2 linked regions of the Solanum lycopersicum genome follow. The protein of the gene in region 2 binds, or shares a complex with, the protein of the main gene of each other region. Links are inferred from orthologs where the notes say so. Each region holds a gene or a part of one and is shown on either strand. Other genes may lie near its edges.

Region 1 (4,012 bases), about 9.3 Mb from region 2:
AAAAACCACAAAGAAAACAATGGGGCACAAGAACTTCTTCAAGTTTATGTTTACATTATATGGCTCCCTTCACAGATTTGTGTAAAAGCTTTTCTTAAAAAATTGCTAGCAACTATTCGGACATTTCCCCAGCAATGTGGTCTAATATTTAAACAAATAACCAACTTAAATTAAGGATATATGTAACCACCACCCCCTACAATAATGTGCTAACAATCATTTTATTTTCTTACAAATACAGCCCCAATTAATATGGCAGAAGAAAATAATAATTTGGTGAAGTATAGTTTCACCTGACGTCACAAAAATATAATGCTGCATGAATTACAAAACACAAAAATAGTACTAAACTAATTTACTTCTAACCACAACAGAAGATCCTAGAGTCGGAACTAAGCATGCTGAAAATTCTGTTGCGCTCCTCTCCATCAGCATGGTCTGAAAACAACTTCATTTATGCTGCTTTGTCTACCACAGGTCCATAACCAATCCTCCAGACAGAACATTTCAACATAGATTGAGTAATCACTTAATCTTTTTGGTATATGTCTACATCAGTTTATCACTTAATCCTTGACCTCTCACCAAAATGTAGTAGTATAGTTTTGTTTTTTATATAGGTGGGATGAAAGCAATATGATGGAATTAGTATTACTGTGTGTCTTATTAGTAGAAAGTTACATGCCAAATTATCCTTTATATGTGGAAAGATATTTTTCCTCAATAGCTATCTTCCCAAAGTCAAGTATATAATAAATTCAATGAATCTGGAGAGTTACCCAATAATTAAAACAACCCAAGACTCCAACTAATTCACCATCAGTAAATGGTGTACAAAGAAAGAGTATACAGTCCTTGTTTTAGTAAATAAAACGCCTTGTCAAAGTTGCGCATGCGGAAAACAAAGAACCAATTAAGCTCGTCCAACTCATATAAGGAGTAATTGACAAAAAAAGAACACACAGCAAAATCAACAACGAAGAAAAATAGGATGGGGAGACATAATAGGAGCATTATCCACAATTATCTAGGTCAATAAGTACATACATATCAAGATTCAAGCATGGAGATGATACTGCAACCAACAATCCAACAATCATGACATCAACCAGGAACGAAATTGACACGTTGTGATTGGGAAAGGCATCACCATTATGATCTCCTTTCAGGGGATCACGCCAGTAAATACATCCTAAGTAAACCCATACTAAATAATTGCTTATACTGACTATTTCATACCAAACAGCCAATGGCCTTGCTAACAAAACATATCATTTTCAAATTTTTTGATGTTGTACCAAGATGTATTGACCTGTAGAGAACAATTCTACCAGCCCACTTAAGATGATTACCTGAAAGTGGGCACTAGACTTCAAGATAAGATCAGAGAACATCATTGTAGTCTCAAGCCATTATCAAACTCCAATAGCTAATCTTTGACTGCAGCCCAACTATGTGATTTGTGCAGATCCATAGATTCTACTAATTCACAACAATGGCAATTTTGTTGTTAATCCTTTACTTGATCCACATTCTATCTTAACCCAGAAGAGAGGCTAGACTCCTTTGGCAAAGTGGCACTTCTTATAAGTCACAATTCTTAGTTGTAGCAGCAAAACCTTCTATGCTTTTGACAGGCACAGAAAAGAATTTTAATTCCTTCCAAATGCCAACTATAGTATAAATTTACTAGATAGAACCTTCGAAATATAATCTCAACACTTTTATTTTTTGACAATGGTAAAAAATCTCAACACTCACTTTAACTTCTCCCTTTTTATTTCAAAACGAGAGGTGACACTCCTCTTGCACCACTATAACTTAGAGATGCTATGTCTTAGTTGTTCACATATTCAACGTTTTACCTACTCAATGGGTTCTTTCATCTTCATCATTCAGAACCCTATAATCCTATGGATTGGACAAGCAAAAACAAATCTTGGGCTGTTGCTAGGACTTATACAGTACAGTATGTAAAGCTTCTAACCAGAACTGATTAGACGACTAGAATTAAATGAAGCCAATCAAATTTTAAACAAAAAAGGATGATCAACTAAGTCTCTACCGTTTGTTCTATGGAGAATAAAGATAAACAAACTTGCCTGCAAAGGAAGCCACAAAGGGCTGAATCTCAGGACTCCAGCTGAATCCACGAATAGCCTCATGTACACCGACATAGTCCCTTGTCCAAAGTTTCTGCCCAATCCTCCAAACAGCCACCACCTCTGGTCGGGCTTCTTTTACAGCTGCAGGTATCTTCTTCCACAGAAATCGCGCACTATTACTGCAAAAGTAAAACAATAACAATGTAATTCTAAATCAATTCCCTAACATCATCCAACTTAAAACCCTAAAATTCCAAAGTAAAGTTGCAAATAAGAGATTACATGTCATTGCTGTAAATATGACCTAGAAGGTGAATCGCGTACGGCCATTCATCTTGAAATTCGATTCCCTCAGCGGCACCCTATGAATACAAATAAAGCGAATAGAAACATTAGGTTTCACTCTTAAATCGACTGAAAGAACTACACTAGAAAGACGATAAATAAAGAGAAAAAAATAGGGAGAAATTGCCTGGAGCATGAGATCATCACAAATATCAGCAATCTTGTCGTAGAAGCTGGACGCCAAGGCTTCGTTGAGTTGAGAAGTATCCATTGAAGCGCACTGTTTTTTTCGTCGTCGATTCTCCTTCTACTCCGTCACCGACTCCCCGCTGGGTGATCGGAATTACAATGTATTAAATAGTTTCGGCTTTTGGTTATTGGGCCTTTGGGCTACTTAAAGGTGATTTTCATATCCGGATACTAAATAACAAAAATACTAACATTTTTCACGACACATGTTTCTTGTTTCTTGTTTACGTGTAGAGAAAAAACATAAAGTTATTACTGAAGTTCGTTTTATATTTTTATAAAGATAATTTATCTTTGAAAGTGTTATATCACTCTATAAAAAATTTTAATATCTTTGTAAATGAATCATTTTGACTCATTTCCTTGTCTTGATTACTGCGCGTGATGCTCATTTTTTTTGATCCGTTTAGCCCAATCTAATTTTTTTATAAAGTAGAAAAATGTTTTTTTTCCTTGGTTATTAGTTAGCTTTCCAATTCTTTCAGATTTTCTTGTTTTTCTTTCAAGGAACTCGAGAACAAGAGGAAAGACAGAGCTCAGGCAGCATATGAGAGAGGAGAAAGCAGTTGGAAAAACTTAGAGTTAAGGCAAAGAAAGCTGCAGAGGAGAAGCTTGGACCTCAACTCGCCATCATTTCTCCAATCAAGTATTTTGAATTGGTACGTCATTTTTTCGAAATACAATTTTGTTGAAGATTGATAAATAATTTTAATGTCGGCCTTTTTTTAATTATATTGTCCTCCTGAGTAGTGTATTTTCAGTTAAACATTTGAGAGGACTCTCAAACTTTTATTCTTCATTGTTTTTAGTAATGAAATTGAATCTGATGCTTTTAGTGATACACCCAAAAAAACCATTTTATTGAAAATTTAAAGAGAAAGAATTCCTACATTATTGCTTTAGGAGAAGATTATGTATTTGTCAAAAAGAGTGTATCTGATCTTGCTTTAGAGAAAAAAAAATGAAATCATAAAGAGTGGCTATCAATGGCTATTTTGAGTTTAAATTTGGGAAAGATAAGGTAAACAAATTAATAATTAATAATAAAGAAATAAAGCGACATGTGTTACTTTTAAGCTGGTTAATGACAGTGAAAGCATTGTAGCACAGATTTATGTGCGTGGTCACAACCCAAACAAGGAAATGGGTCAAAATGGCTCATTTACAAAGATATTAAAAAGTTTTGTTGGGAGATAGGACACTTTCAAAGTTCAAGGGTCTTTATAAAAATACGTGACAAATTCAGTGACAACTTTATGTCTTTTCTCCATGATTGTATTATGATTTCCTACGTAGAAGGCACTATAAATTAATATATATATTAAAATGTTAATATTGCACGAGCCTATATTGTAAATCACATACCTCGTATG
Region 2 (4,301 bases):
GACTATTTTATCTATATTTAAAGTAATAATTTGTGCTTAATTAGTTAATAGCAAGTTGACTATAATTTACATTTACAGATTTATTATAAAATAATACTCGCTTCAAAATTCCTTTCACATAAAAAAATCCCTATTTTGGGATCGACCCCTACACGGAAGCAATAGCGAAGTCAATTCGGGTAGGCGCACGATCCTTATATCATAACAAACGTTTTATAGGCTCCCGAACCCTCGATTCGGTTGTTTTCCAAGAATGTTGAGCCACATATGTAAGCCATGTATCTGGGAGGAACAACAATAAAAGAAAGGTTTCAGTTTTTGTCTTGCAACTATTTTCAAAATATATATATAACCCAAAAGAATATTCATTCATTTCTTTCTTCTCCGTCGACCACGACGATTGAAACGACGCGAAAAATCTAGACCCCGTAAAGGAGAAGGGTCGGGGGGGGGGGATTTGGGAAAGTCGGGTCGGCCGGGTGTCTTTATTCAAGCAATGGTACAGAAGTAGAACGAAATAGAGTGAGAGGTCGGGGGCATGGAAAAGAGTCAAATCGATCAGGCTCGACGATCGGGAGAAGCAAAACGAAATCAGGATTTGAACGAAAAAAAAGCAAGGTTGTGTATACCATGACCGATCACCATCGACAAAAGAAGAATATTTCTAAATCACTTCGTGTCAGCGGGACCTTCAAGCATCCGAAATATGCCACGATTGAAAATGACATAACATACATGATTAAAAACATAAAATTAAATCATAAAAGTTTGAGGAAAGATGATACAAGTTATTCATTATTATCAAGGTGTCAAGTGAAAAACAATAATATCTATGATCGAGAAAGATTGAAAGAAGTGATTGTCTCACATTTGCTAAGAGCTCTTTGATGAATTTTTCGTAAAATGCAACCCCTTACTTGTTAAGTAACTCTCTATCTAATTGTATAAATACAAAATACTATTTTATTGATAAGTTATCATATAATAATGGTATATTCAAATTTAAATACATTGACATGAAATCAACCTAAAGCATACGACAAAGCCATTAAGATTAATAGTATGTCAATGTCAAAAATCTTTCTTCAGTATACATGATTTGATTAACATGACATTCACTCTACGTTATCATATTGAATATATTATTATTGAAATTTATTAAAATTTAATATACATATAAAATAATTAGTATATATTTCTTATAATGATCTTATTTTCTTTTTTGTATATTTTAAAAAGAATGATATTTTTCCTTTTCTGGCAACATTTTAACGATATGACATGTTTAAGAATATAAAATTAAAAAGTATTTTGATATACTTGACATAACTTTAATTTAGTTACATAAAATTAAAATATATTATTCCTTTTTTGAAATTTTATTTTAAATTATTATTATTTTTTTAAACGGAGGGAGTAATTATTATTGTAAAATATTGAAAGAAGCTTAAAAGTAAATCAAAAGTATAAAAGGACCCGCGATGGGCTCAAAGCATCATACCAAATCAGACAAGCGCCCTTCTTCTCCGTGGGACTCCAAAATTTTACAGTTAAAAAAGCCCTCTTCTCTATTTGTTTTTGTGATAAATCTTTGAATCGGAAATCAGAAACCCTAATAATTTTCTTTGCTTTTGTCTATAAATGTTATTGAACCCCTGATTACTTGTGATTATTAATTATTCATAGAGAGATGGATATCGAACAAAAGCAAGCGGAGCACATCGACTTCTTTGTGAAACAAGCATCAGCACTCAAGGGTTCTGCCCTTACCACTGTTATTGTTGAAGCCACTTCGCATCCATCACTCTTTGCTTTTTCAGAGATTCTTTCTGTTCCCAGTGTTCTCGAGGTTTCCATTCATTCATATTACTATTTCTACACTTGTTCTGATTTTGTTTGAAGTTTTTTTTTTTTTTTTATGATAATTGGGTTAGTAGGTGTTGCGTTAATTTGTTTTTTTGTAATTTTGTGTGTTTTTTCCTATACTGGGTTTCTAGGTATTTACCCTGAACATTGTGTCGTGGTTATGTACTTATGCTATTGATTGGGCAATATCTGGAATATGATATCATTCTGGGTATCTGTTTGTTGAGTCTTTCGAAAACAGCCTCTCTACCTTCTCAAAGGTAGGGATAAGGTCTGCGCGTACACTCTACCCTACCTGGACATCAAACACCACTTGTGAGATTACATTTGGTTTGTTGTTTTTGTTGTTGATGGAATTTCCTGATAATTTGATTAGTGGGTTTTCCTCTCATATTGGAAGTGCCTGCGTTAGGCGTAGTAATTGGTCTTGTGGTACGAGGAAAAATGTTGGGGATGTCTTAAGAAAGGAAAGCTTTGAGTAAACTGGGATGGATTAATGAAAACAATATTTTGCCGATGAGCTACAAACTCTTGCTCATTTATATGGCTGTATGTTAAATATTGAATAGTCTATGTAGATGTTTTAGATCATGGATAAATAGATGAAAAGTTAATATTTTATCTTATGATCAAGTACCAGATGATTTTCAAAACACAAAAGGAATGAATATCAGGAAACACAACTAAAATGGATCAAGATACTACAATTTGATTGATTTTAAAAGAGGTAATAGAAGCGTAGGGGATACAGTATCATTAATGAGGAAATAACTTGGGTTCATCCTATCAATTCAATCAACTTCAGAGCTCAAAACCCTAAGCATATCGAAATGGGCTTAGTTGCACGGACTCTTCACTTTGATGCCGCATCCGTGTCGGATTCACCAAAATACACTACTTTTGGCGAATCCGACATGCACTATTGACAGTTTGGAAGAGTCCGAGCTACATAGGAAATGGGTTTTATACTCGGTTTTGATTCTCTTTAGAGTTCCTTTATGACAATTAGGTAGACATCTGGGAATAAAGGGCAAAAGAAGTGCTTTTGATCAGTCAGGTTAGACCATATCTGAAGTGGGCACTTTATTGTGGTATTTCTTGACTATAAATTGCACCTGTGATTCAACGTTGGTTGTTGAATCATAAGATTCAGGTTAGATTTATGCATCACAGACTTAGATTATAGTTGATTCTGCTGGAACATAAATCTAATTGTGAGATTTGAATCTCAAACTGTAAGTTTTTGAAAAATATGGGCATAGAAAACATTTGTTTCAATGCAGAGGATTATTGGGAGCACCTGAAAATTGTACCTTGATATACTTTTTGCAAGTTGTGTAGTTAACACCATATTGCCATGTTGCTGTATATATACTTTGGGATCCCTTTCATATTTGCGGTTAATTGTTTTTTTTTGTTGGACCTATATGCAGCTTGGAGGAACTGAGAATTCAGTATACCTTGATTTGCTTCGTTTGTTTGCTCATGGAACATGGAGTGACTACAAAAGTAAGCGTACATTTTTTTTTATATCTGATTATTTTAGAAACATTTTTTTTGTTGGGTAGGCTGGGTAGCTGATTGGATCCGCTTTTCCAGGTTGGAGATTTCAACAATGTTCTTTTTATTGCCATTATGTCAATTTATCTGCAATACTTCATTTACCATTCTTTCATATTAAATGCCTTAAATTTTATAATATTGTGAACTTGTACCCTATCATTTCGAGGTATTTCTTTGAGATAGAATATGCTTTTGGTCATATGTATAAGAACTTGAAGATTCTTCTAATTGTTAATAGAGCGTTAGTGCAAATGAGGGTATCAATATTAAGTTATTAACTTCTCAAGTTTTGTTTCTCCGTAAATGAGTTCATTGTTGGCTGGGAAGTTAATAAGGACATGGTTTAGCCTCAGTTGTTCGGACTTTATGCGGTATAGTTCTTCTTGAACTGGTTTGATTCTAAATTTTCTTACAAAATCAATCAAATTATTTGGTTGATGTGGATTTCTTGATCGTAGCAAGACTGGAATAGAACTTTTGTTCCACATAGGGGCCATAGTATCAAGTAATAGTAGCGTATAGAATTACATTCTTCAAAACCATTTTCTCATCTATTTTGCTTATTAATTTATTTCTTTATTTCTTATTGGCTCAGGTATATAAGACATAACACTACAAATATGATATAATTTTTATTCCTTCTCAGTAATCACTTTTATTCACAATTGCCTTTTTATAAAGTAATATCACATTCCAAGTTTAAGTTATGATAATCTTTTTGCTAGTAAGAATTTGGTTATTTCAACACCTTGATACGATTGATATTTTGAGTAGAAGTGCTAATGAAAAAAAGTCTTCTTTTTTTCTTCTCTTAACTTAAGAATTAAGTAAAATCAATGAAATTGAACTGCATATGGTAGAAAACCATGTGA

The links.
Region 1: COP9 signalosome complex subunit 7 (region 2) and COP9 signalosome complex subunit 8 share a complex: the UniProt entries of both Arabidopsis thaliana proteins name them as parts of the CSN complex. The link is inferred for Solanum lycopersicum from reciprocal best matches to the Arabidopsis thaliana genes FUS5 and COP9.

What each region holds. Positions count from the first base shown.
Region 1 is NC_090800.1:89,068,584-89,072,595, reverse strand, and holds the start of COP9 signalosome complex subunit 8, read right to left. Parts: upstream 2,801-4,012; 5' UTR 2,662-2,800; coding exon 2,578-2,661; intron 2,468-2,577; coding exon 2,388-2,467; intron 2,285-2,387; coding exon 2,103-2,284; intron 1-2,102. UniProt on the Arabidopsis thaliana protein: Component of the COP9 signalosome complex (CSN), a complex involved in various cellular and developmental processes such as photomorphogenesis and auxin and jasmonate responses.
Region 2 is NC_090800.1:79,720,427-79,724,727, forward strand, and holds the start of COP9 signalosome complex subunit 7, read left to right. Parts: upstream 1-1,478; 5' UTR 1,479-1,690; coding exon 1,691-1,849; intron 1,850-3,299; coding exon 3,300-3,375; intron 3,376-4,301. UniProt on the Arabidopsis thaliana protein: Component of the COP9 signalosome complex (CSN), a complex involved in various cellular and developmental processes such as photomorphogenesis and auxin and jasmonate responses.